4 linked regions of the Anolis sagrei genome follow. The protein of the gene in region 2 interacts with the protein of the main gene of each other region in a biochemical or structural test. Links are inferred from orthologs where the notes say so. Each region holds a gene or a part of one and is shown on either strand. Other genes may lie near its edges.

What was found.
Region 1: the proteins of EIF2AK2 (region 2) and PRKRA form a complex in vitro, tested with the Homo sapiens proteins (3 studies listed by BioGRID and IntAct, with this or other methods). The link is inferred for Anolis sagrei from reciprocal best matches to the Homo sapiens genes EIF2AK2 and PRKRA.
Region 3: the proteins of EIF2AK2 (region 2) and DNAJC3 form a complex in vitro, tested with the Homo sapiens proteins (2 studies listed by BioGRID). The link is inferred for Anolis sagrei from reciprocal best matches to the Homo sapiens genes EIF2AK2 and DNAJC3.
Region 4: of the proteins of EIF2AK2 (region 2) and EIF2A, one has a biochemical effect on the other in vitro, tested with the Homo sapiens proteins (4 studies listed by BioGRID, with this or other methods). The link is inferred for Anolis sagrei from reciprocal best matches to the Homo sapiens genes EIF2AK2 and EIF2A.

What each region holds. Positions count from the first base shown.
Region 1 is NC_090021.1:189,757,462-189,764,332, forward strand, and holds the start of PRKRA (interferon-inducible double-stranded RNA-dependent protein kinase activator A), read left to right. Parts: upstream 1-3,854; 5' UTR 3,855-3,869; coding exon 3,870-4,111; intron 4,112-6,871. UniProt on the Homo sapiens protein: Activates EIF2AK2/PKR in the absence of double-stranded RNA (dsRNA), leading to phosphorylation of EIF2S1/EFI2-alpha and inhibition of translation and induction of apoptosis.
Region 2 is NC_090021.1:51,152,934-51,160,162, reverse strand, and holds the start of EIF2AK2 (interferon-induced, double-stranded RNA-activated protein kinase), read right to left. Parts: upstream 3,012-7,229; 5' UTR 2,535-3,011; coding exon 2,336-2,534; intron 246-2,335; coding exon 133-245; intron 1-132.
Region 3 is NC_090023.1:126,802,168-126,809,342, forward strand, and holds the start of DNAJC3 (dnaJ homolog subfamily C member 3), read left to right. Parts: upstream 1-4,158; 5' UTR 4,159-4,273; coding exon 4,274-4,355; intron 4,356-7,175. UniProt on the Homo sapiens protein: Involved in the unfolded protein response (UPR) during endoplasmic reticulum (ER) stress.
Region 4 is NC_090023.1:241,294,545-241,302,064, forward strand, and holds the start of EIF2A (eukaryotic translation initiation factor 2A), read left to right. Parts: upstream 1-4,512; 5' UTR 4,513-4,748; coding exon 4,749-4,776; intron 4,777-7,520. Other genes in the region: SERP1 (stress-associated endoplasmic reticulum protein 1), read right to left, coding at 3,549-3,624, 4,296-4,379. UniProt on the Homo sapiens protein: Functions in the early steps of protein synthesis of a small number of specific mRNAs. Acts by directing the binding of methionyl-tRNAi to 40S ribosomal subunits.

The sequences.
Region 1 (6,871 bases), about 140 Mb from region 2:
ACTGGACCAAATTTGGCACAAATACCCGATATATCCAAATTTTGAATACTGGTGGAGTTGGGCAGGGAATTGATTTTGTCATTTGGGAGTTGTAGTTGCTGGGATTTATAGTTCACCTACAATCAAAGAGCATTCTGAACCCCACCAACGATAGAATTGGGCCAAATTTCCTACAAAGAACTCTCATGACAACAGAAAATACTGTGTTGTCTGATGGTCTTTGGTGACCCCTCTGACACCCCCTCATGACCCCCTCAGGGGTCCTGACCCCCAGGTTGAGAAACACTGCTTTAAAACATAACAGAGAGTGGGTGTAACTGGGAAGAAGTTGTGATCACATTCTAGTTTAGGAGGGACAGTACTGGCACAGTTTCTGTAGACTTCTACATTCTCCAACTGCCCCCCCCCCCCCCGGCTGCCAAAAAAAAAAAAAAAAGGCAATATACAACATAGTCATGAAAAATAGTGAAGAAATCTAAGATTTTCCACTGAGGGCCAGAATACCAGCAAAGTATGAGCAAAGAGGGGGTTCACACCCTTTCTATCTAAAGCACATGTGCTCTGCTAAAATCGTGGGTTCGGATCCCTGAGTGTCAAGCCACCAAAGGACTGAATAAAATGCAGATAGACTGAAGGCAAAATCAGAGTCATTTATAAATCTTGGTCAACATTTATACCAGAAGAATCTGCGCTCCAAAGAAAGACATACAACTGCGAACAGATTTCTTTTTAATGTTTGACAGCTACTCAAAACAAAGGCACATTGCCACGTAGGCTACTGATTCATCTAGAGTGGCACCAGCTAGGATCCCTCTCCATTTTCTTCTTCACTGATTGACTCTGGTAATGGTGGGAAATTTAATAAACTGTCTTTGGATTATTTTTGAAGGCTTCTTGATCCGCCCATCAGAAGAATGCGCATGGAAAGAAATGTGATATGGCAAGGGATAATGGGCTGGGATGGGCTTTGATATCTCTGCTCTAGTCAATACAATGGGTGCCAGTGAGGTAAATAAAAGGGAGGTCAGGGTGTGGGCAAATTCAACTGGGACCCCAAGAAGGGGGTCCAACTTCAATAAAGGTGAGAAAACATTCTCAAGAATAGAATGAGATCACCCCATGGCTCACTTCTAAGCCCTTTATGCTTTCCGTGTGTCATCTCAGGGTATTGTGAAGAGGACTATGCAACTATTGTGTAGACATTCGCTGAGGTCTGAGACGTGTATGGTGCTTATGCAACATTTGTGTGTGTGTGTGTGGGGGTTGGTTAATGAAAGACTGAGGGCCTTCTCAGTGGTTGCCCCCCACCTCTGGAACGCCCTTCCAAGGGAAATAAGGCAGGCCCCATCCCTCCCCTCCTTTCGTAAGAGCTTGAAGACCTGGTGTTTTCAACAAGCCTTTGAAAATGACCAGTTCTAACTCAGCCCTACACATTGTCGAATGTGGCCTTATTCTTCCTACCAATTATCCAGATTCTTTCCTCTAATCGACCCCAGAATGAACAGCCACAGACCTGTACCTAATATTATTGTTGCCTGTCAACAAGGGGTTCCCTATCAATCCCTATGGAGCTGTGGACTCTAGGGTTTATCCTTTTGGGGATCTGGTTTTCAGTAACATATGCGTCAACTCTAGGCACATGAGTTAAATCCACACCACTATGCCACTTTATGTGCTCCTTCAGATACTGGGCTACAACTCTTTTATTACTCATCATTAGACACAATTACTCGAGCTGATGGGAGTTACAGTACAGTAACACCTGAAAGGCTGCAGTTTGTTCTGTTTAGTCGGGATATTGGGGTTGTGGATATAATGCCTGACTTTAAAATGTCATTTAACCCTTCCCCAATATTAGAGCCACAAGGGTTGTTGGGTTGCAATTCCCATTATCCCCAGTCCGCATGGTGGATAATCAAAAGTGATGGGTGTTGGTGTTCAATAACATCTGGGGACACAAACTGAGTAAAAACTAAAGAGCACTGACCAGTATGTAAAAAAACTGTATAGCTGGGCTCTCTTTATCCACTGATTCTCTGTCCATGAATTAAATAGCCCTTTGAAGTCAACCATAAGGCTAATGTGGCCCTCAGTGGAAATGAGTTTGATATCCCTGGTCTAAAGGATAAAGTTTGTTCTTCATCATCATCGCTATTCCAGATCTCCATTCTGTTAAGAGTTTATTAAAATAATAATAAACCCAAACTTCTAAAATATTAAGGATGCATTCATTGGGGTGGGGGGGGGGGGGAGGGTTAGATGATTTCCACTCCGGTGGGAAGCTTCCCATCAACAAGGTGAAGTATCATAGCGATGAAGATGGAGAATAAAGTCGGGGCGATAACACGTCCCTGTTTGACACCCGATTCCACCTTAAATGGTTACGCTCAAGCCTCCTTCCTTGAGAACCGCCTTCACCGAGCTGCGATTTCAAGTGATGCCTGATGCCAACCGCAGTGTTAGATGGTCGCTACCAAAATGTTCCCTGGGAAAACAGACTATGTATTTGTAGTCAATGTCAGGTAGAAGACATTGTGCATTACCTGTTAGTCTGCCCATTGTATAGCGACCCAAGGGAAAGACACCTGAAACCCTTGTTGACACAAGATGAAGGGAACTCTATTGCAGAAACAGTGCAGTTTCTACTGGGCGATACAAATGACTATGTAACCTACAAAGTAGCCCTTTTTGCTCGCTCTGCAAAAAAGATCAGAAAGACAGAGTTAGATAAAATTGCTATCAACTGCCAAGGAGATTTTAAGGGTTAACTGCCTTGGGCCCGTACAATAAACTATTTTGATTGATTGACCTTAAATGGGTCACTTTGGGAGCCACTGCTGTCCAAGACTGTTGCCATCATGTTCCTCTCACATATTTATACATGGCATATTTATACATGGCTATCCTATCTCCTCTCAGCCTTCTCTTCTTCAGGCTAAACATCTTCATAAGGCTTGTTCTCCAGACCCTTGATCATTTGTGCTAAGTTTGGTCCAGTGAATGAAAAGACATCCTGCCTATCAGGTATTTCATAGAATCATAGAATCAAAGAGTTGGAAGAGACCTCATGGGCCATCCAGTCCAACCCCCTGCCAAGAAGCAGGAATATTGCATTCAAATCATCCCTGACAGATGGCCATCCAGCCTCTGTTTAAAAGCTTCCAAAGAAGGAGCCTCCACCACACTCCAGGGCAGAGAGTTCCACTGCTGAACAGCTCTCACAGTCAGGAAGTTCTTCCTTGTGTTCAGATGGAATCTCCTCTCTTGTAGTTTGAAGCCATTGTTCCGTGTCCTAGTCTCCAAGGAAGCAGAAAACAAGCTTGCTCCCTCCTCCCTGTGGCTTCCCCTCACATATTTAATCATGTCTATCATATCTCCTCTCATCCTTCTCTTCTTCAGGCTAAACATGCCCAGCTCCCCAAGCCGCTCCTCATAGGGCTTGTTCTCCAGACCCTTGATCATTTTAGTCGCCCTCCTCTGGACACATTCCAGCTTGTCAATATCTCTCTGGAATTGTGGTGCCCAGAATTGGACACAATATTCCAGATGTGGTCTAACCAAAGCAGAATAGAGCATGGGGAGCATTACTTCCTTAGATCTAGACAGACACTATGCTCCTATTGATGCAGGCCAAAATCCCATTGGCTTGTTATGAATCGTATTTACACTACGATTCATAACAGAAGCAAAATCGCAGTTATGAAGTAGCAACGAAAATAATGTTACGCTTGGGGGGGGGGGGGTGTCAGCACAAGACGAGGCAGCGTCTTAAGGGGTGGCAGCGTGAGGAGGGTGGAGTGGCCGCCTGGCTGGGGTGGGAGGGCTGGGCTTGGCTCCGCCTGGCTGCGCTGGCCCCGGAAACACACGTGATGCGCGGGAGGGAGGGAACCGAGGGAGGCTTTCCCGGCCAGGAAGAAGAAGGAGAAGAAGAAGAAGCGATGGAGGCGGAAAAGGAGAAGGCGGAGGAAGAGGAGGAGGAAGAAGAAGAGGCAGGGAGCGGCGGCGTGGCGGCGGCTCAGCCCCAGGAGGGCAGCTTGGGCGCCGAGCCCGCCACCCAGGCCGAGGCGGAGAAGCAGCCGTCGCCATCGCAGTCGCCTCCCACCCCCACCAGGTCTGAGCCAAGGGCGGCGCCCGCGTGGAGAGAAGCACGGAGGGAGGGAGGGAGGGGGTTGCTCTCGCTGCTCCCATTCATTGCATCTCTCTCCCCCCACCCCCCAAAAATCCCCAATCTGATGTTGCAAGCTAAGTATCACCCACCCTGGTTAGGATTTAGGCGGGAGACCGTCCACCCACGAATGCAAAAGCGAGGAGATTTCACTCCCCCCCCTCCCACCACGCTTTAAGAGTACCTTGTGAAACTACAACTCCCAGCATTCCATGGGGTCAAATGCAATTAATTCTAGGTGCACCCTCGCGGTCTCCCTAAGGAAACCCTGTGCAATTCGCCATCTCAAGACACATGGGGTGAACTATATCCTCATTGCACTGCCATTATCATCTAGGTCATCAAAACAGATATTATCTGCGTTGAACTGGATTATAGGAGTCTCTATTGCAGTGGTTCTCAACCTGGGGGTCGGGACCCCTGGGGGGGGGTCATGAGGGGGTTTCAGAGGGGTCGCCAAAAACCATGCAAAAACGTATTTTCTGTTGGTCATAAGGGTTCCATGGGGGAAGTTTGGCCCAATACTATCATTGTTAGGGATCAGAATGATCTTTTATTGTAGGTCAGGGGTCCACAAACATTTTAAACAGAGGGCCAGATCACAGTTCCTCAAACTGTTGGAGGGCCGGATTATAATTTGGAAAAAAATGAATGAATTCCTATGCACGCTGGGCATATCTTATTTGTAGTGCAAAAACACTTAAAATACAATAATTAAAATGAAGAACAATTTTAACAAATAAAAACCTATTAGTATTTCAATGGGAAGTGTGGGCCTGCTTTTGGCTGATGAGATAGCATTGTTGTTGTTGTGTGCTTTCAAGTCTTTTCAGACTTAGACTGAGCGAGGGCCAGGTAAATTACCTTGGAGGGCCGCATCCGGCCCCCGGGCCTTAGTTTGAGGACCCCTGTTGTAGGTGAATTATAAATCCCAGCAACTAAAACTCTCAAATGCCAAGGTCTATTTTCCCCAAACTCCACCAGTGTTCATTCACATTGGGCATGTTGAGTATTCATGACAAGTTTGGTCCAGATCCATCATTATTTGAGTCCACAGTGCTCTCTGGATCTAGGTGAACTACAACTCCAAAACAAGGTCAGTGCCCATCAAACCCTTCCAGTATTTTCTATTGGTCACGGGAGTTCTCTGTATCAAGATTGGTTCAATTCCATCGTTGGAGTTCATAATGCTCTTTGAGTGTAGGTAAACTATAAATCCCAGCAACTACAACTCCCAAATGACAACATCAATCCCCTGCCAACCCCACCAGTATTCAAATTGGGGCATATCATGTATTTGTGCCAAATTTGGTCCAGTGAATGAAAATACATCCTGCATATCAGATATTTATATTATGATTAATAACAGTAGCAAAATTGTAGTTGTGAAGTAGCAACACAAATAATATTATTGTTGGGGGTCACCACAACATGAGGAACTGTATTAATTCAAAGCACCTCAGACAGATGGCCATCTAGCCTCTGTTTAAAAACCTCCAAAGAAGGAGCCTCCACCACACTCCGTGGCAGAGAGTTCCACTGCTGAACGGCTCTCACAGTCAGGAAGTTCTTCCTCATGTTGAGATGGAATCTCCTCTCTTGTAGTTTGAAGCCACTGTTCTGCGTCCTAGTCTCCAGGGAAGCAGAAAACAAGCTTGCTCCCTCCTCCCTTTGACTTCCTCTCACATATTTATACATGGCTATCATATCTCTTCTTCAGGCTAAACATGCCGAGCTCCTTAAGCCGCTCCTCATAGGGCTTGTTCTTCTATGGCAGTCAAGAAGGGTCCTATGTATTAAAACGACATATTCCTCCCAATCCCATCTGATCTTGGAAGCTGACCATATACACATTCCCCTCTCTTCTTTCTTGCCTTCTTTTTTTCCTTCCTCTCTCTCTCCTTTCTTTCTTCTTTCTGCCCTCTTTCTTCCCCCCCTTTCTCTTTCTTTTTCTTTTTCTCTTTCTCTTTCCCTTCCACACAGCCCTATATCCCAGAATATCACAGCAGATAATCCACAATATTTGCTTGAATAGGGTTATCTTAATCCACACTGTCATATAATCCAGTTCAATGTGGATTTTATACAGCTGTGTGGAAGGCCCCTTCTTTTCCTTTGTTTCTTTGCCTCCAGTCATATCTTTTTCTCTTTTCCTTTCACTTCTTTTTTTTTCCAGATCTTGGAAGCTGAACATAATCATCCCTGTTTAGAATCATAGGCTGGATCTACACTGCCATATAATCCAAGTTATCAAATCAAATAATCCAGATTATCTGCTTTGAACTGGATTTTATGAGTCTACACTGCCATTAATCCAGTTCAAAGGCTGGTTCTACACTGCCCTATAATCCAAGTTATCAAATAATCCAGATTATCTGCTTTGAACTGGATTTTATGAGTCTACACTGCCATGTAATCCAGTTCAAAGCAGATAATCTGGATTTTGTATTACAGTGTAAATTGGGCCATAGAGTTGGAAGTGACTCCACCAGGCATCCAGCCCTACCCCCTGCCACACAGGAAAAGCACAATCAAAACACCCCCGACAGATGACCATCCCATTCTTGGATGGGAGGCCACTAATGACTAGCATTACAATGCTCGGATAATGTGGGATTTTCTGCCTTTATATTCTGGATTATATGGCTGTGTGGAAGGGCTCTAAGGCATATGAATGAAAGTCCTTAATAGACATGTGATTTGTGT
Region 2 (7,229 bases):
ATCATTTATATAAATTAACACTAGCAGTGAATTAAATACTACCTTCCCAACATTGATGACAAATTAATTGCACATTAATAAGTTGTCATATATACACTGACTTTCATAGAAAGACTTTGAGTTCATGCTGACCTTAATTTTTTCTGGACGTCCAAACTCAAGCAGTTGAAAGTTATTCGGGGGTGAAATATCCTTGTGAATTTCTGCCACCATATCATTTAAAATATATAATGACCAATTTGTACCTGCAACATAAAGGCAAATGAGTTCCATATGGCTTCCAAAAACATAAGACACACAGAGACAAGAGTACAGTCAGTGTGCCAACGTCTGTGCTAAATTATTGATATTAAAATAACTAGACTTTAATAATTTTAACAATCATTTAGCATTTTGCAGATTAGCAAAGAACAGTCTTGGGATGACATTCTCCCTCCTCATACTTTGTGTATCTAGTTTTTCCCCCTTAGGTGAGGTAAACCATTGTTTGCCATTTTATCCTTTCCCAGGATTGCAAATTCTGATGGATGAAATGACGAATTCTTAAAGCAAAAATCACTGGGCTGCATTTATAGCAGATAAGAAGACCACGAAGCAATTGAGGATATGATCCTGAGGCCACTTTTCTTTTGGCTTTATGCCTGAACTCTCTCTGAAGCTCTGAAATGCACAGCATTTGTTTGAAGTGGAGGTATTGTTTACAAGAGAAGCTATTGTTTGTATAAGAGCCAGTGTAAAAAAGCAATATTGATCAAAACAGATTTCAGAAAATACTACACTGCCGGAAAAAAGGTTCCACCTTAACTTTAGGAAGAACTGGAGGTACTGTTTGCAAGAGAAGCTATTGTTTGTATAGGAGCCAGTGTTAAAAAACATGTATTGATCAAAACAGATTTCACAAAATTCTACACTGCAGGAAAAAAGGTTCCACCTAAACATTAGGAAGAACTTCCTGACAGTAAGAGCTGTTTGCCACAGTGGAACATGCTGCCTGGGAGTGTGCTGGAGTCTCTGCCTCTGGAAGTTTTACAGCAAATACTGAATGGCCATCAATCGGGGGTGCTTTGATTCTGCATTCCTTCCTGACAGAATGGGGTTGGACTGGATGACTCTGGTGTCTTCCAACTCTATGATTTTAAGAGGTTTGAGGTTAGCAGCCCATGACCAGTTACTTGAACATGGAGCAAGAAGGTGTGTATTGCTTAGTTAGTTACATAACCTGGGGATGATCAGTGGGATGTGGAGAAGGATTAGAAAGATACAAAATGGGCTACTACAGACATCTGACAAGCATAACTTTGCTTGTAGATGTAAACATGGATTCTGGCAACCCAGCCTGAATGTCTAACTACTGATGATATCACATTAGAGCAGTGGTTCTCAACCTGTGGGTTCCCAGGTGTTTTGACCTACAACTCCCAGAAATCTCAGCCAGTTTACCAGCTGTGAGGATTTCTGGGAGTTGAAGGCCAAAACATCTGGGGACACACAAGTTGAGAACCACTGCATTAGAGACTTCTAAATTGCAGGCCTGTGTTTCCCTATTGCCTGGTTTGCTTCTGCAGAATTCTGGGAAGCCAAGGACCTCTAGCTCAGAATTTCAAAGGCTCCGCTCTAAACTATATTCCCTAGAATTCTGCAGGAGCAAACTGGTTCAGAGGGAAACACGGACCTAATCTGTAGAGCTCTAATGTGATCTTGTCCTTGGTAACAGAAAGCAACATTGTACAGTTGTCTCTCTACATTTGTGGGTTTTACATTTGTGGATCTGATTACCGTATTTCACCATTACCGTATTTCACACGTTTTTATCCCTTTTTGGATTAAAAAAGGGAGATACAACTATTATACAGCGGAGGAAAAAATCCAGCATTAGAGCCTCTCTTGGCCAGTAGTCGAGTGAAGTCCCATAGGCAGTTACATCCTGAGCAAGTGAACTAAGAGCATGACTATTATGCAGAGAATACTAAAATTCCCATTTTGCCACCCTGAACATGGGGGTGCAACTAAGATGCAAAGGCAACTGTTATGTGATTATATGCAGGAATTTGTATATTAGATTAATATGTTCTTTCTAGGTATCTCATACTTCCAGTATGTCTGTATGGCAAATTTGGCCACAGAGTTGCACTAGAGGAATAAGACATTTCTAAAGAGATGTTCTCTCAGTTAAAAAGTAATGCATTTTTAATTCAGTTTTTCCACCTTTGCACCTCTAAGCCCAGAAAATGTAGAAGACTGACTATACTTCCAACTGAGCAGGAAAGAGATGGCACCTGCCATCAAATAATAATCAGCAGGTCAGGTATTAATTTCCTCTTAAAAGACTACTCACCACATTTAGGATAAGCCACTATCAAGACATCATCCTTTCTGGCTTCCATGGTTTCAAGAGCTTCAAAAGTCTCAACTTTACAAAGCCGACTAGGATACAGGACTCCTTTGTACGAAAATAGCAGGTCATCATCGTTATCCTTGTCATCCTCTAAGAACTTCTCTACAAATTCTGCAAAGCCACTTTTTTCCTTTGCCATCCTTTCTTCTCACTGGTGTCTTATTCAGATCCCTTCTAAAGAGGAGATTCAGTTCGGTGCTCTTGGACACTCTTTATTGCTCAGCAAAGGATATTTCACAGAAGAACAAAGTCCGGAATTACATAAGCTCACACCCTGGATTCCAGTTCAGACTGGCTATTAAGACTATCTGGCTTTATTTGTTTCTATAGCAAAGTATTGCTTAATATTTTGCTGGCTGAATAAAGTTATTTTTTGGGAGGAGATATTACTCCTGAAACATGATTGGAACACCAGGGGCTCCAGAGGGTGAAGTAAATAGGCTAACTGAAACCAAGTGGATGAAATAAAGAGATCTCTGCCCCTTTAAGGGATGACTATGATGCTGACACTTTCCTCAGTTTGGCAATGTTAGGCACTTCTGTAACAGGATCTTTCTAATCTTTGTCAGTTACGAGAAGTCTTCTTTATGTGTTCCAGTACTGAACCAAAAGAATTTAAAATACAGTTAAGATATGCAATAAGATTAGACTTCCTAAAGCATAACATGGTTCTGTTACTGGCATACTTTGGCAAGCATTTCACATAAATTGCCTTTAAAAATATTTTTGCATTGTGTTCTAAAGTTCAGCACATCTCCCTGGGGAATTTGTTTAACTTTGTTCTACAATTTTGAGCCCAGAAGATTAGAGTTTCACACCCAGCATTCCTGTAACCTTTTGGGCTGCACAGTTTGAGAACTTCTGCTTTGGACCATCTTGGAGTCTGCCAGGGCTAAGAGAGTCAATACCTTCTGTTTGGAGAAGAGCAGCAGATTTGGCTACTGTTGCTTGTCCCTCTGCTTGGTGGTCTTCAAGTTAACATCTGCCTGGCTAATAAAAGTTAACATTTGCCTTTATCCTCTGGTGGCCTGCCCTGTGCAGGAAGGATGTGTTTTTCTAAGGAGCGAGAAAGTCCCTAGATTCGTGGGGTCAAACAGAGCAGGAGAAGATGCGGAAGGGGGAAACAGGTTCAACACAAACAAAAGAGGGAGCGAAATAGAATGCATACTACTTCCAAATTGTCTCCTATATTTAATAACCTGGATAACTAAAGGAGGCCGATACCCATAGTAGATTTGCTTTGGTAACATAATAAGAAGAAGTGTACCCCTCCCAGTAGAGAAGGAGCAACACATCAATGGCAGGGTGGAAATGTGTGCTCTGCAATAGAAAAGCTAAGTGTAAAGATAAGGCTTGCTGAACAGAGTTGAGACTTGGGCTGGGCTGAAATTTGCCCCAGAAAACATGTGCAGTAGAATCTTGATAGATAAGAAAAACCTATATAATGTGTGGTCAAGGGGTGTGGTACACGGCAACCTTTTTTAAAGTACTGTGACCTGCATGTGCAGTACGGCTGACCCGTCTCCTTATGGCCATACTGGAATAAACCTTGCTTTTGCTCTTCTCCTGAGCCTAGACATTTTTGTCTGTTTGCCTCCTGTGATTGGATCTTCAACAGGAGCTCAGATTTGGGGTCCCTTACATAAGCAGGGTGACTGTCCCCCTAGGTTGAAAATGCTGCTGCTAAATGCCAGGTCAGTCAATGGGAAAATAATGCCATCCAAGGCGTTCAGGCCTAGCTATAAAACAGAGACAGCATTGGTCGCCTTGGTGGATGACCTACAAAGAGAGCTAGACAGGTGGAGTGTGTCCCTGTTGGTTCTCCTGGACCTTTCAGCTGCTTTTGATACATTGACCATGATACCCTTCTGGGTCCTCTCTATGGGCCGGGGCTGGTTTTACAGTGGCTCCGGTCCTTCCTGGAGTGCCATACCCAAAAGGTGGTCCTGGCCGCTGTGCTGTGGGGTTCCTCATTGTTCCATTTTGTCCTTCATGCTGTTCAACATTGTAGAGAAATGTTTATTATAGAGTGTTTATTATACTGTATTTAAACTGTATTTAGGTTTTACATTAGTTGCTATGGCCTAACTGTGAGGGATAGGTTGCCATGGTAACACAGCCTCAGAGGAGGTGGGCGGAGTTTAAGGAATAAAAGGTTTGAAAGCGTCAGTTAATATTCAGTCCGGTGGATGAGACCCGGGGAAGAGGTTCAGAGTGTTGTGAAGCTGTGAGAATTCAGTAGTTCTTAGAATTTGTGAATATTTCTTCAGCAAGAGAGCTGAAGGTGTTACCTTGTTAGATTGCTTAGGTTAAAGAATCTAACAGAGGGGGTTTAAAGGATCGCCAGTAAGGAAAGACTGGTGATCAGTGGTTTGTTCCGAGTATAGGGCAAACAGTGTGGATATTCACAATAGGGAACTCTGAAGTAGTATAAGCACTTCACTAAAGAAGGAGTTTGTAGAATTGTAACATCAGAAGCCTGTATGTATCTCAAACCAGCCATTTTGTAACATCAAGCCTTGTGCCAAGTTCAAATTCTCAAAACTGCAACAATTACGTTCTGTTGACAATAAAACTTGTTCTCTTTGTATTTCAAACCTGCCTCCTCCATTGCTTTTATGCTTGGTGCATTCCACACTACCAAAGTCACCTCACAACACAACTAAAGATAAACAGAGACATAAACCAGCGTCTCTAAACATATTGGTGGCAGTTTAATTGATATCTAAAAGAAGGTTCCTCACAGAATATTGGTGGCATTAAAGAAGATTAATGCTTCCTCACATAATTTTTGTTGACAAGCGGTGGCATTAACGCTTCTTCACATAATTTTGTTGACAAGCGGTGGGATTAACGCTTCCTCACAAACATATACATGAAATTGCTGGGAGATGTCATCCGGGGTTTTGAAGTATGGTGCCACCTATATGCAGATGACGCCCAACTCTACTACTCCTTTCCACCTAAAGCCAAGGAAGCTGTCCTGACCCTAAACCAGTGTCTGTCATCAGTAATGGACTGGATGAGGGCAAACAAACTGAAACTTAATCCAGACAAGACAGAGGTGCTTTTTGTCAGTTGGAAGGTAGACCAGGGAATAGAGATCCAGCCTGTGCTGGATGGGGTCTCACTCCCCCTGAAGACACAGGTCTGCAGTTTGGGGATACTTCTGGACTCAAAACTGGAACTGGAGCCCCAGGTTTTTGTGTTGACCAAAATTACAACTTGTGCACCAACTGTGCCCATTCCTTGAGAAGCCAAGGTGTGGTACATGCTTTAGTTTTATCCCGTCTGGATTACTGTAACGTGCTCTATGTGAGGCTCGGAAACTTCAGCTAGTCCAAACAACTGCAGCCAGGGTGCTAACTGGGAATGGCTGCAGGGAGTAGACAAACCCCCCTCCCCATTGCAGCAGTTCCACTGGCTGCCAGTCTGTTACTGGGCACAATTCAAAGTACTGGTTGTGACCTTTAAAGCCCTAGACAGTTCAGGTCCAGGCTATTTGACTGACTGCATTCCCTTGTATGAACCTGCCCAGGCCCAGGGATCTTCAAGCAAGGCCCTTCTCTTGGCCCCACCACCATCTCCAACTTGGTTGGTGGGAATGAGAGAGAAGGCCTTCTTGGTGGCTGCCCCTCGACTCTGGAACTCCCCTCTTCCTAGGGAAGTCAGACTAGCCTCCTCCCTGCTGTCTTTCCGGCGGCAGGCTAAAACCTTTTTAGTCAAACTGGCATTTGAAGATGAAGTCAGAGGATGCTATGATGTTTAACTTGGAATATGTTTGATGGGTTTTAATTAATTTTTCAAAATACTGTTTGTGTTTAATTCTGTTTTAATGTTTCTATATTTGTATATAATAATAATAATAATAATAATAATAATAATAATAATTCCTAAAATAAAATTAATCTTGTCAGGAGTTATAAGACTGCATTGCTGCAGGAGATGCAATCCATATACTGATAAATTATTTAACTGTTGTAATCTTGTTGTCAAAGGTGTAAATGTAGACCACACCTTAGCAATACAAACCTACACATCTACTCAGAGATAAATGCTCTGATTTAAACAGGATTTATACCTTGGTGGGAGGAAAAAGGATTGCAGCCCTGGGTGGCAAGAGCATGAAACTGGAAGGAAAAATACATCTAAGTAATGCAGGGTTTTTCTGCTACACTTGATGATCTGCTCAGAGCTTATGTAAGTTGCCTTTTGGACCACAACTCCCAGAATCCTCCAGTAACTACAATTTTGGCTTCATTGTCTGGATATTCTAGGCCTTGTTGTACAAAACGAAACTCAACTAAATTTGACCATCTACTCCAACCAGTTAGCGATAAGCAATAAGAAGATCTGCAACCACTTTTCTGATAACAGCTTGTCAGGTGCCTTATCCACACTCAGTAGAAAATAAAACAGAAGACCACAGGTGCTTTATATTAGACATTCTGTGTAATGTAGTTCTGAGATTACATAATTCTAAGAGCCCCACTGAGGAATTTCCTGGAACATCCAGGATAGGCCAGGTCCTGGACAAAGGTGGTAATCATGATCCATTGTGTCTGTGTACAGAACAAGTAGTTTCCTCTGCAACATCTGATAACTGCTGATCAGTACTCACTTCAGTTGAACTGACAGTGGAAAGGGGAAGTCACACATATTGGATCCCTTTATTTGACACCCAAAGCCTGAATGAAGATCATCACCTTTTGTCCCAAGGCTCCTCGCTGTCACCTTCCCCAGGAAACTTCCTCATCGCCCAATATCAGAACAATTAAACCAATCAAGGACTCATTTACATCTTCCAATATGGACATGGACTTTTTGGGGCTCC
Region 3 (7,175 bases), on a different chromosome or scaffold from region 2:
AACCACTGGGCAAATTTACACCAAATTCGGACACAATACACCTATCAGGCCAACAAGTGACCATCACTCATAAAAACACTGAAAAATACAGTGGAAGAGACTTAAAAAGCCAAAAACTAAAAAAACAACATTACAACTTATGCACAAAACCACATATATACACATATACACACATATATACATACACATATATACACACACAAAACACATATACACAGACTGGGCCACAGCAATGTGTGGCAGGGGACGGTTAGTGATGAAATAAAATTAAACTGCTAGTCTGATTAGTTTCCGTAATCTTTTGCTTCAAACAAGAAGATGACTTAGGCCACTTTAGTTACTGTCTTGGATATATTTGACAGATGCCATGGTCAGTAGATGTGCATGGATAGCTAGTGTGATGTTTGCTGGCTAATTTGTGCACATCGTATTTTGGAATTTTTCTAAAAAGTGGTACATCTGTTAATTTAATAATCAAATTACAGGCAACCTGATACTGAGTTGGAGCTACTGGTAAGCGGGGTGAGTGGGGGGGGGGGGGGGGTTGATGTAGGAGAAAACTCTAGGTCTAAGTACAAAGTACCAGCAGTAGTATTGTAGTATCACCAAAAATGCAACACCGTGTGAAGTTCATGGTCCTGTTTATCCAGCAGTAAATATCCTAAAGGCATCTGATTGATCCTGGAAGCCAAACATGTTCAACTCTGGTTAATACTTGGACAAAGACCAGGTACTATGGATATTTCACAGGAAGAAGATGGTAAAACAATCTCTGAGTATGTCTTGCTATGAAATCCATACGATTACCATAAGTTGACATGGGGATTAAAGGCACATGCAAACAAATGCTTGTTCATACATAGAACACTAATGCCTTCAGTACACAACTATTTATTAGGATATTTTAGTGGCCTCTAGTGGTTATTAGTGGCATTAATATTTTTAGAATAACCATTGGCTCCTTTTTATTTTATTATTTTTTTCCCAAATACAATAAAAGTTCACTCACAAGTAATAACTTAAAAAGGCAGGGAGAAATGTTGAAAAAAAGTGAATAGAAGAAATAAAATATATAGTAATTTCAAACTGCTTTTTAAGCAATCTTTTTTCAAAAAGTCTCTACTGATTTTTCTTGAATCAAATTGAGATTGGATCCATTTCTGGTAGCTCATTCAGTGACCATTTTCCCTCCATGGCTATGAATATATTCTTCTAAGTCTAGGCACACAACAGTCTTGCCACTACAATCATGTATTGAAGAAGTCTTCTATGGCTCCTTTTTAGTTGTTGTTCCATATGTTTTCTTTGACCAGTGTTTTGTTTTACCACATTGTTAAGAACTGAACTTTATATTGACTGGTGTTTTATTTTCCCAGACTGTAGTAAATTTGTTCTTTCCAAGTTTACTACAATTCAGTCTGGCTTTACCTTACATTAATGACTCCAACTGCAAGCTGGTTTAGTTGAATTAATCCGGTAAAAAGGATATATGCCACAGAATGAAGACAGGTTGTGTATTTGTGTAAGCAGCAAATGGGAGCCCCCGGTGGCACAGTGGGTTAAATCCTTGTGCTGGCAGGACTGTTGACTGAAAGGTCAGCAGTTTTAATCTGGGGAGCAGGGTGAGCTCCTATCTGTCAGCTCCAGCTTTTCATGCAGGGACATGAGAGAAGCCTCCTACAGGATGGTAAAACATCCAGGCATCCCCTGGGCAATGTCCTTGCAGATGGCCATTTCTCTCACGTCAGAAGTGATTTACAGTTCAATGCAGTTAAACTGCATTATATGAGTTTACACTGAGCATATAATGCAAGTTTCCAACAGCATTATATGGCAGTGTAGATGGGACCTGAGCTTCCTTTTGGGGTTGAAGACAGCTTTTAAGGGATGTTTCCTGGCAATAAGCAGTGGTTGTACGTATTTTAAAATATAGAACAGACTGGTTTAAAAATGAATATCAAAGAATTTAAGGCTATTTCACATCTTGATATATTTCAGTCCTTCTCCAGAAAATTACACTATAATCCCACGCAGATCTACAGAAATCCAAGGGTTTGTTTCTCAATAAATCTACTGGGGATAATGGATGATGACCTGTTAGGATCACAACCTACTGGGGATTATGGTTCATGACCTGTTAGGATCATAACCTATTGGTTCGCAGAGTTATGTAGGTGTTCCTCTAGCTTATTGAGTAATGGATGGTCGCTAGGCACATAGTTTCTATTAAGTGCTCTCAGCAGACAAAGATTCAAATTGACTTCTTTAAAAATAGCTTGTTTGTTTACTCATAGCTTCATGTACTAAAATATACAGGCACATTTCTTGTCATGTTAAATTTTAAAACATTTTGGTTTGTATCTTTAACTTATTGTCTTTAATAGTCTTTTCAAAAACTATATTGTTCTGTACAGTTCTCTTTCATAACAGTCTACTATTGAAGAATTCAAGCTTCAACAGTTTTCTAACTTTCTACATTGACATCTGACTGAAAAACAGACTTCTGTACTCAAGCTGACTCAAGACTTAGCTGTCATTCCTCAACTATTATCATGTTTAAAATGCATTATAAACAGTCCCGTGATCTGCAGCCCCTCGCACTGCCTCAAGTATATAGAGCTAAGGAAACTGCAAACCAAAGTAGACATAAGCCTTCGACAATACAAAGTAGACATACACTTTGGGAAATAAAACGACACATTATAAACAGACATAACATTAAATAGAGGAGGCTTGAGAAGGTTGCGATCTCCAACAAAATCGCTACCCTCAAGTCTTTCTGAAACGAATGAGGTTAGTGTGATATAAGTTAATCACATCCCATTGATTTCTTATGAGTTTGTATGTAATTTTCCTGGACGGAGACTTTGTATTAAGAATACAAGTTTAGAGCCCTTGATCCTGAATTCCGAAATATTCCTAAACAGTCCAAATGGCTGGCTGAGATAGAAACACCTTTGCTTTCTTATGCTTTAAGATGTACAAGCTTTGTTTAACATAAAGTTACACAAATATTATGTATGAAATTACTCTCAGGCTGTGCGTTTAAATTGTAAAAGCAGTTTGTGTTTAGACATTTCCAAGATATATCAGTATTCTAAAATCCCACAATATGGAACATTTTTTTTCTGAATGAGGTCACCATCCCAAAGGGATGCATCTACACTGGAGAATGAGTGCAGTTTGACACCACTTTAACTGCTATGGAACTCTGGGGTTTGTACAATCATAGAATCAAAGAGTTGGAAGAGACCTCATGGGCCATCCAGTCCAACCCCCTGCCAAGAAGCAGGAATATTGCATTCAAATCACCCCCGACAGACGGCCATCCAGCCTCTGTTTAAAAGCTTCCAAAGAAGGAGCCTCCACCACACCCCGGGGCAGAGAGTTCCACTGCTGAACGGCTCTCACAGTCAGGAAGCTCTTCCTAATGTTCATATGGAATCTCCTTTCTTGTAGTTTGAAGCAATTATTCCGCTTCCTAGTCTCCAGGGCAGCAGAAAACAAGCTTGCTCCCTCCTCCCTGTGGCTTCCTCTCACATATTTATACATGGCCCTCATCATGTCTCCTCTCAGCCTACTCTTCTTCAGGCTAAATATGCCCAGCTCTTTAAGCCGCTCCTCATAGGGCTTGTTCTCCAGACCCTTGATCGTTTTAGTCGCCCTCCTCTGGACACTTTCCAGCTTGTCAATATCTCTCTTCAATTGTGGTGCGCAGAATTGGACACAATATTCCAGGTCTGGTCTAACCAAGGCAGAATAGACTGTAGTTCGATGAGGCACCAACATTCTTTGGCAGAACGAGCTAAATGCCTTGTAAAACTACAACTCCCATGATATCATGGCAGTGAAAGTGGTGTCAAACTGCATTAATTTAGAGTGTAGAGGCAACCATTGTTATTTCAAGACTTATTCTGTGCAACTTGGAAGCAAACACCGTCAAACTTTCAAAAGTAGCGCCCTGGTGTCGCCCTCCTTGACGTCACAGAGCTTGAAAGGAACTTCATTCCCAAGAGAGGGCAAGCTGACGTCCGTCCGCGCCGGCTTCAACGCCTCCTAACGCGCATGCCCGGGGAGGAGGGGGCGGGGCCCGCTGACCATGGGCTCTCCTGCTCTCCACGTTCCCCTAGCCGGGGGCGGGGCTTGAGGCGGCGCGGCCAATCAGCGGCTCCCACGACCCAGCCCCAGGAACCTGGCTGAGAATGTTGAGAGAGTTGAAGAGTCCCGAACTCCACTTTGACGCGGGTCGGGCGGCGCACGTGGGAACGCAGCAATGGTCTCTCCCCGGGCTTGCGTGCACAAGCTGGCCTCGGCGCTGCCCTTACTCTTGACGCTGTGGGACCTCCACTTTGAGGGTGAGGAGGCTGGGAAGGGGGAGAGGGGTTCTTTTCCTGGGAAATCAATTGGGACAAGGTTAACTTAGACTGCATTTGCCTTTATCCTCTGTCAGCCTTTTGGGGTCGCTCCCTGAATGTGTGGATTGAGGTCTAGGGTGCATCTACACTGTAGAACTTAATGCAGTTTGACACAACTTTAACTGCCATGGCTCATTGCTATGGCATCCTGGGAAATGTAGTTTTACAAGGTCTGGCAAAAAACCAAACTTCCCCAAAGTACAAAACCCAAGTTAAAGTGGAGTCTTCGTGGTATGGTATAGATGTGCCCACACCTCACATTTATAGCACTTTGATACCGCTTTAACTCCCTTGGCTGTTTCCCGTGGAATTCTAGGCTCTGAAATTTGACGAATGATAATAACTTAAGACTTCTTTGCCTGAAAGTTTTAATAGTATTCGGTGATTTGACAAACTTTGGTCTTAAGCGTGTTTTGGACTTCAACTCCCAGAAGCCTCAGCTGCTGTGGCTAGTGGTGAGGGATTCTGGGAGCTGAAGTCCAAAACACTCAGAAGGCCAGAGCTTGGGAAACTCTGGGGGATTCTGTTTCCCTCGCCAAATACAAATCCCAGCGTTGCGTCAGATGTTTTCAAAGTGCTATAGTTACATGGTGTGAAGTCTACATTAGGAAGCAGGACTTCTTCCTGGTCCTGGAAAGGCTCAGGAAGAGACTTGAGATGTGCGATAGGATTCCTATGTATGAGTGCATCCACACTGTAGAATTATTGCAGTTTGACACCACTTGAACTGGCATGACTCAATGCTATGACCTTATGGGAGGCACCAGCAAGCAGGGAAAGGCCTTATAAAACTATAACTCCTATGATTCCATCTATACCTGAGAACAGGCCTGGGCAAACTTTGGCCTTCCAGGTGTTTTGGACTTCAACTCCCACAATTCCTAACAGCCTATCGGCTGTTAGGAATTGTGGGAGTTGAAGTCCAAAACACCTGGAAGGCCAAAGTTTGCCCAGGCCTGCTCTAGAATGGATGCATTTTGGTGCCACTTAACTGCCATGGCTCAGTGCTGTGGAATCATGGGAATTGTAGTTTTTCTATGTGCCTCATCACACTAGAACTCCCAGGATTTCACTCCCAGGACGATACCACTTTAATCATAGCAGTTAAAGTGATACTATACTGCATTAACAGTGCAGATGCACCCATGTCTTTGAATCCTGTTCCCTGTAAGTGTTTAGGATTTCAGCCGTTCACCTAAGGGAGTGCCCAGTTGACATCCTTCTTCCTTGTTTCGCCCCAATCTCTTCCAACGTCATTCTCATTCTCAGACGACAATGACTTCTGGTCTTGCTGCTTTATATGTAAAATGGGAATATCAATCGTAACAATGGGATGATGTTATTGAAGGTCTTTTGAACATCAAAGGAAAGTGACATAAAAACTCTGAGTTGGAGGATCACGTGTAAGACAAGGCTTGCTAGTGTGAGTAAGTTCTGAGGTCCATGAATACGGATTTGTAGTGCAAATATAATGTGTGGCCTCTTAGCACATAAACGGTTAGCAAACATTCAGAAAGTTACAAAAGTTACAGTGAGATCCTGTTAGTTTCTCAGCTTCCTTCCTTTTGTGGACAAGAGAGACCGTCATGTGGCTATGAGGGTTGTTTTGGGCCATGATGCTCAACTTACATAATACCAAAGAATAATATAATAACAACCATACTATATTAACATTACTTTCATAATGCATATAGTCTTGCAGTAGTAATAGCTTTGATTAATGTCTTTGTTTTGATATTACTGGTTGTACGCGCCACGCATTGCTGTGGCCAACCTTCCTCTCCCTCTTTCCTTCCTTCCCTTTTTTATTTCATTCTCTTCCTTCTCTTCCTTTTCCTTTCCTTCCCCCCTTTTCTTTCCCTTCCCCTTTCTCCCTTTTCTTCCTTCTCTACTTATTCTTGGACTGCAACTCCCAGCAGTCCTCTTGATCAATCGATCTATATCTACCTATTTATCTCCATCTGAATCTATCTGGGGGATTGCTGAGAGTTGCAGTCCAGGAATAGGAAATTGGAAATATGCAGGGATTGGGATGCTCTCAAAGAAATCCAAGGAGAAGAAAGCTTGTATCTTGGAAGCGGTGCATTTGGATCATCCTCCTCTCCTAAAGGGCCTGGTTTAGAGGATGCTGGGAGCTGTAGTCCGAAAGAGAGTGTGGATATGCTTTTGTGTGTTTTGTTTGCCAGGGGAGTTGTTTTTGGGCATGCCCTGTAGCGTCTTTTTGCTTTTTTGGCCTTTTAAGTCCCTTCTATTGTGTTTTTCAGTGTTTTTATGAGTGATGGTCACTTGTTGGTGTGATAGGTGTACTGTGTCCAAATTTTGTGTCAATTTATCCAGCAGTTTTTGAGTTATGTCAAACCCACAAATGAACATTACATTTTATTTAAATAGATTATTATTACTACTTATATATAGCTTTTCTCTTTTAGACTCAAAGTGGTATTCCACTTTCTCTTATATTAGACCCTTCTACACAGCTGAGTAAAATCCCACAGTTATTGACTCATATAACTAAGGGCCCTTCTACACAGCCCTATATCCCAGAATATCAAGGTAGAAAAACCCACATTATCTCAGTGTGGACTCAGTTAACCCAGCTCAAAGCAGATATTGTGGGATTTTCTGCCTTGATATTCTGAGATATAGGACTGTGTGGAAGGGCCCTTAGAGATCCCTTTTTATTTCCCAATTTAGTCTTAATTTCTATATGATGGGAGTATTTTTTCTTGCTGTTACTTTACTTTTTTGTAATGCTAAGCA
Region 4 (7,520 bases), on a different chromosome or scaffold from region 2:
CTAGCAAGGTTTACCAAGATGATTTTATTCCTTTCCTTACCATAAAATATGGATATACTATTTATAGCTCACTTATAGTTATTTTAAAATAATTGTTTCTGATCTTATCATGAATGGGAGTTGCTAAAATAGACTTTATCATAAGATATCAAGCTTTTTCCTTTAACATAATTTGGTTAGGCCTTTTTTATTTTCAACACGTGTGTAAAACCAAAGAGAGAAATAATAAAACCCAATATTATTATACCGTTATTAGTCTCAATGGATATACAAAGCTGACGTTGCTACAGTTAAAGAGATCAACTAAGCACATGACACTCTTAATGACAGTGTTTAGAACACTTGCTTTGCATAAGCCTTTTTTTTCAAAGATACCCAATTGCAGGAAGACTACCTTGCAGGTGATTTGGCTATTTAAACAGGGAAGTCTCAAATCATAGTGAGCACAAATATGAATGTGTTTATTATGAAGTGAATTCCACTGAGTTGTGAGATTAACCGACATCTTCCAATGATAGGAAATTCTACAATCCTTACATGCAAGTCTCACTCGTGCACTTATTCTTGTTGACCTACATAAAGTCAATGATAGGGAAGGTGGTTACTAGGGGAATGTGGACAGATGAAGACGTATGAAGTGCAAATTTCTTAAAACAGAGTTGAGTAACAAAGCAGTCATTGCTGTTGCAACTCACACTGAGGCTGTAACTCCATTACACTAAATGAGGTCCCAGGATAGATCACCTGCCACTCTCTATCGAGCCCTCCTGAATTCTCCCTTCACACACACTTTCTACTGATCACTAGTAAACTACAGTATTAGAATTCCTTGAGAGGAAAAAGGATCTTTCCAACCACTACTGGGAATTTTTAAATGCTATTTATATTTCATCCTATTTTAACATCTGTATATTTGAAATGGATATGCGGATGCTTTTATGTTAAGCTGCTTTGAGCTCCCTGCGGGGGAGACAAATAATAAAAATAAGCTTTATTTATATCCTGCCCCCTCTCCCAGGTGGGACTCGGGGTGGTTTACAACAAAACAGCAAATACAGTAAATGATATATCAAACAATAATCGCATGTCAATTAATAAAACAAAATGGTACAGTATTGTGAACAAAAATAAACAGTTTAAAATACTATTTAGCCCTCTAAAACAGTATACATATAAAACACTCTTTAAAAGCAGCCAATTCCTATGATAAGGGTATCCAGCATTATAAGTTATAGTTCTGATAACCATTTAAAGTCCTGTTCGATAGGGTGGTTAATGCTCCTAGCCATCATCAAAAGCCTGCTTAAACATCCAGGTTTTCAACTCCTTCCTGAAAGTTATGAGGGTGGGTGCTTGTCCAATTTCCTTGGGGAGGGCATTCCAAAGGCGCGGGGCCACTAACAAGAAGGCTCTCTCCCTTGTCCCCACCAACCTCACTTGTGAGGGGGATGGGATTGAGAGGAGGGCCTCCCCAGCTAACCTTTGAGTGGGGTATAAATGAATTTGATAATAATAAGGCCTGAAGCTATGTTTTGTGGAACCAATCATCTAGCACTTCTTCTCCATGAATACTTAAAAACTACAGCTCAATTTTCTTTCAGTTTTCTAAATAGAGTTGATGCCACCACCTGCACATGTGGTAAGGCTAATAAATTAGATCAATCACTGAATGTGTAAAAGGTAAAGATTTCCCCTGACATTAAGTTTAGGGGGGGGGGGGGGGAGTGTGCTCATCTTCACTTCTAAGCCGAAAAGCTGATGTTGTCAGTCGGTCACATGGCCAGCATAACTACATGGAGTACCGTTACCTTCCCGCAGAAGCAGTACCTATTGATCACATTGGCATGATTTTGGACTGCTAGGTTGGTAGAAGCTGGGACTAACAGCAGAAGCTCACCCTTCTCCCTTGATTCGAACCTCTGACCTTTCGGTCAGCAAGTTCAGCAGCTCAGTGGTTTAACCCACTGTGCCACCAGGAGGCCCACTCTAAATGTGTGGATGTCAACAATTGCAGGCCGGGACCAACTTGGGCCCTCCAGATATTTTGCACTCCAACTCCCACAATTCCTAACAGCAGACCAAAACACCCAGAGTGCTCAAGTTGCCCCATGCATCTTGTAGGGTTGTTGTGTTAAAATATGAACTTCAATATCAATAAAAGGTATCAGAAAGCCTTGACACACACCTTCACTGTCCCCTCATCTCTGGAACTCCCTCCCCAGGGAAAATAGGCTGGCACCCACCCTACCCACATTCCATACGGAATTAAAGATGTGGATGTTTCGTTGTGCATTTGACTGATGACCCCTATGACAAATGATCTATATCATGACATGAATCTGAATTCCTATATTACGTTTCTATATATTTTTAAAGTTATGCTGAATTGATCCTGTTTAATTGCTCTGTTTCCATGCTATTTCCTATGCTATTTATTTATTTATTTAAAACTTTTATATCCCGATCTTCTCTACCTCTGTAGATGGACTCAGACCAGCTAACAGCCAGAATTCAATGCTAAACAGTAAAAATCAAAGACAACATATAACAAAAGTAAATTACCAATATATATAAAATAAATACACAAAAGCAGTTCGCCAAGATAAAAAACATGTCCAACTCAGTCCGTATATTGTGGTCAATACTTTGGTCGATTATCAGTCTCACCCATCATTCTGCAAACGCCTCACTCCACAGCCAGGTTTTCACTAGCTTCCTAAAGGTCAGGAGGGAGGGGGCAGATTTAATTTCCTTCGGGAGGGAATTCCATAGCCACCACAGAAAAGGCCCTGTCTCTCATCCCCATCAGACGCGACTCCGAAGGTGGTGGGATCGAGAGCAGGGCCTCTCCAGATGATCTTAACGCTATTATATGTTTTGATCCACCTTATCCTTTAACCAGTTTGCATAGTGGTCCTCCTTCCCTGCCTCTCCAAAATTAGCCTGCTGTTGCTTTTGATGCTTGTTTATTATTGTTATGTTGTTTTATGCTGTTTTAATTTGTTATTTTTCCCCCTGTTGAAATCTTTCTCTTCAATTGTTTTTTATTTTATTTAAGTAGACATCCATTTGGAAATGTTTGTTGCATACAGTGCAATACTTTCTATCTATTGTTTTGATTTTAATTGTATTTTGCCTTGGCCCCATGTGAGCCACCCTGAGTCCCTTCGGGAAGATGGAGGCGGAGTAGAAAAATAAAAGTCCTTCTTCTTCTGACCCTGTCACGACTCACTTACTGGATCCACAGACCTCCATCTGCTGTTGCTTTTGTTGCTTGTTTATTATTCTTATGTTGTTTTATGCTTTTTAAATTTGTTATTGCTTTTTTCCCCTTGCTGAAATCTTTCTCAATTATTTTTATTTTATTTAAGTAGACATCCATTTGGAAATGTTTGTTGCATACAGTGCAATACTTTCTATCTATTGTTTTGTTTTTAATTGTATTTTGCCTTGGGCTTGGCCCCATGTGAGCCGCCCCGAGTCCCTTCAGGGAGATGGAGTAGAAAGATAAAGTTCTTCTTCTTCTGACCCTGTCACGACTCACTTACCGGATCCACAGACCACGAAGATGAAGAGCGCCAGCAGCCAGGGCCCCACCGAAGCCTTCTCTTCCGGGGCGTTTCTCTGTGGGGAGAAGAGCCAGAATCATAGAATCATAGAGTTGGAAGAGACCTCATGGGCCATCCAGTCCAACCCCCTGCCAAGAAGCAGGAATATTGCATTCAAAGCACCCCTGACAGATGGCCATCTAGCCTCCAAAGAAGGAGCCGCTACCGCACTCCGAGGCAGAGAGTTCCACTGCTGAATGGCTCTCACAGTCAGGAAGTTATCAAAAAGGAGAAGGAGGAAGAAGAAGGGACCTCATGGGCCATCCAGTCCAACCCCCTGCCAAGAAGCAGGAATGTTGCATTCAAAGCACCCCTGACAGATGGCCATCTAGCCTCCAAAGAAGGAGCCGCCACCGCACTCTGAGGCAGAGAGTTCCACTGCTGAACGGCTCTCACAGTCAGGAAGTTATCAAAAGGGATCAGGAGGAAGAAGAAGGGGATTAAGAAGAGGAGAAAGCAGATCTGGGCCAAGTTGGGCCCTGCAGGGGGTTGGGACTTCAACTCCCACCATTCCTAACAGCCTCAGGCCCTTTCCTTTTCCCCCTCAGCCGCTTAAGAGGCTGAGGGGGGAAAGGAAAGGGCCTGAGGCTGTTAGGAATGATGGGAGTTGGAGTCCCAAACCCCTGCAAGGCCCAACTTGGCCCAGGCCTGCTTGAGATGGCCTGTCCCCTCCACACCCGCCCTTACCGAGGTCTTGGCCACGTTCCCGCGTTGTGTGATGTTCTTGCTGTGCTTCTCGTTGGCCATCCGGATGCGCTGCTTGGCCACCATCTTTGCTGTTGCTCCCTCCGAGCGGGACCTGCCTCCAGCCAAGGCGCCGCGTAAGCAGCAACTGCCCCTCTCACGCAGGCCCCGCCTTCCGGAAGCGCGTCACCAGCTGCCACTCGGAAGTAGCCCCCTCCCCCTCGGGGGAGAGTCTATTTCCTAACCTTCCCCGCGCTCTTCTCCTATCCGTGTTCGCCGACCAATAGCGAGGCTTGCTTTGGGTGCGCGTGACTTTGGGAAACTCCGCGCCCCTCCCTTCGGGTTGGTACACGTCACCACGGCTCTTGAGCTGGCGGAGGAGAGAGAGAGAGAGAGAGACGTGTCCAGCTCCGCCTCCCCGCGACCCGGAAGAGGAAGGTCCGGATCCGGCTCAAGATGGCGCCTCCCACGCCACTCCTGGCAGGTGGGTTCAAGGCTAATCAATAGGCTTCTTTCTCATTCCTCTTTTCTCATTCCTCTGTATTGGGATGTTTTTCCAGATTCTTTCCCTTCACTCCAGGGCTCTTCAAGCGGTACTTTCTAGCCTCGTGTTCATAGATTGGTAATCTTCGTGTGGTACACCTAATAATTCAATGTACATTGTCACACCTAGCTTCAGCAGAGAGCTGTCTATCAACAAAGATTCCCTCCAGGCACTTCCAAGCGATTCAATGCTAATCAAGGTGGTCAGCTGAAACATTCACACCTAGCTCTAGCAGGCCCCACCCCAGTCATTCCACAGATATATAAACCCATTTTCCTATTTCCAACAGACCTCACTACCTCTGAGGATGCTTGCCATAGATGCGGGCGACACGTCAGGAGAAATGCCTCTAGAACATGGCCCTATAGCCCGAAAAAACCTACAAGAACCTAACCATCAATGTACATTATTTATTTATTGGCCGCATTTGTATACCACCTAGAATTATAAGTTGGAAGAGACCTCATGGGCCATCCAGTCCAACCCCCTGCCAAGAAGCAGGAATATTGCATTCAAAGCACCCCCGACAGATGGCCATCCAGCCTCTGTTTAAAATCTTCCAAAGAAAGAACTTCCTGACTGTGAGAGCCGTTCAGCAGTGGAACTCTCTGCCCCGTAGTGTGGTGGAGGCTCCTTCTTTGGAAGCTTTTAAACAGAGGCTGGATGGCCATCTGTCAGGGGTATTTATTCATCGTGTCATCAGCAACCATACCATTGTATTACATTTCTAACAGAACAAAACAAACAAACAGATAAAAAAGCAAACTTGGTAGTTGACTAAATGTCTTTTGACCAGTAGCTGGCCACTTGGAGAGCCTCTGGTGTTGCCGCAAGAAGGTCCTCCATTGTGCATGTGGCAGGGCTCAGGTTGCATTGCAGCAGGTGGTCAGTGGTTTGCCTCTAGAACATGGTCCTATAGCCCGAAAAAACCTACAAGAACCTAGGTCAGTGGTTTGCTCTTCTCCACACTCGCATGTCGTGGATTCCACTTTGTAGCCCCATTTCTGAAGGGTGGCTGCATCTCGTGGTGCCAGAGCGCAGTCCGTTCAGCGCCTTCCAAGTCGCCCAGTCTTCTGTGTGCCCAGGAGGGAGTCTCTCATCTGGTATCACCTACGGATTGAGGTGCTGGATTTGAGCCTGCCACTTTTGGATTCTCACTTGCTGAGGTGTTCCAGCGAGTGTCTCTGTATATCTAAGAAAACTATTTCTTGATTTAAGTCGTTGACGTGCTGGCTGATACCCAAACAAGGGATGAGCTGGAGATGTTGCTGCCTTGGTCCTTTCACTATTGGCTGCTACTTCCTGGCAGATGTCAGGGGTGATTTGAATGCAATATTCCTGCTTCTTGGCAGCAGGTTGGACTGGATGGCCCATGAGGTCTCTTCCAATTCTATGATTCTATGATTCTAAGGAGCCTCCACCACACTCCGAGGCAGAGAGTTCCACTTCTGAACAGCTCACACAGTCAGGAAGTTCTTCCTCATGTTTAGATGGAATCTCCTCTCTTGTAGTTTGAAGCCATTTTTCCGCGTCCTAATCTCCAGGGAAGCAGTAAACAAGCTTGCTCCCTCCTCCCTGTGGCTTCCTCTCACATATTTATACATGGCTATCATATCCCCTCTCAGCCTTCTCTTCTTCAGGCTAAACATGCCCAGCTCCTTAAGCCGCTCCTCATAGGGCTTGTTCTCCAGACCCTTTATCATTTTAGTCGCCCTCCTCTGGACACATTCCAGCTTGTCAATATCTCTCTTCAATTGTGGTGCCCAGAATTGGACACAGTATTCCGGATGTGGTCTAACCAAAGCGGAATAGAGGGGTAACATGACTTCCCTAGATCTAGACACTATGCTCCTATTGATGCAGGCCAATAGGAAGGATATTAAGCCAGATTATTTATTTATTTATTTCGCATATTTGTATGCCGTCCTTCTCACCCCCAGAGGGGGACTCGGAGCGGCTTCGCAACAGGCATTCATTCAATGACAACAACAGTAATAAATGATAAAAGCAATCAAAACATAAAATTACTAAAATATTGTTTAAAACACGCAGATTTGAAATCATAGTCCAGGTCAGTACATTGTCCTTCACACAAATTGGACCTCATTCTAAACTGCTGCCTCTACTGTTTGAATGCTTAGTCCCATAACCAGGCTTTGGGTTTCATTCTCAAGGACAAGAGGGAGGGGGGCAATCTAATGTTACTGGGTAGAGAGTTCCACAGGCGAGGGGCTGCCTCTGAGAAGACCCTGTCTCTTGTCTCCGCCAAACGCGCTTGCGAGGATGGTGGGACCAAGGGCAGGGCCTCTCCTGTCGATCTTAGACTTTGTGATGGTTCATAACAGAAGATACGTCCTGACAGGTAAGCTGGACCAGAACTGTTCAGGGCTTTATAGGCTAAAGCCAGCACTTTAAATTGTGCTCAGTAGCAGATTGGCAACCAGTGGAGCTGGCATAGCAGAGGGGCTGTATGCCGCTTCAGTGAGCAACCTGGCTGCCTTCCATTGGATTTGTTGAAGCTTCTAAAGCAGTCTTCAAAGGCAACCCCACATAGAGTGTATTGCAGTATTTTGTTTGCGATGTAACGCGAACGTGGACCACCCATGGTATCTGCTTTGAACTGGAATATTTGAGTCCACACTGCCATATATCCCAATTCAAAGCAGATAATGTGAGATTTTATT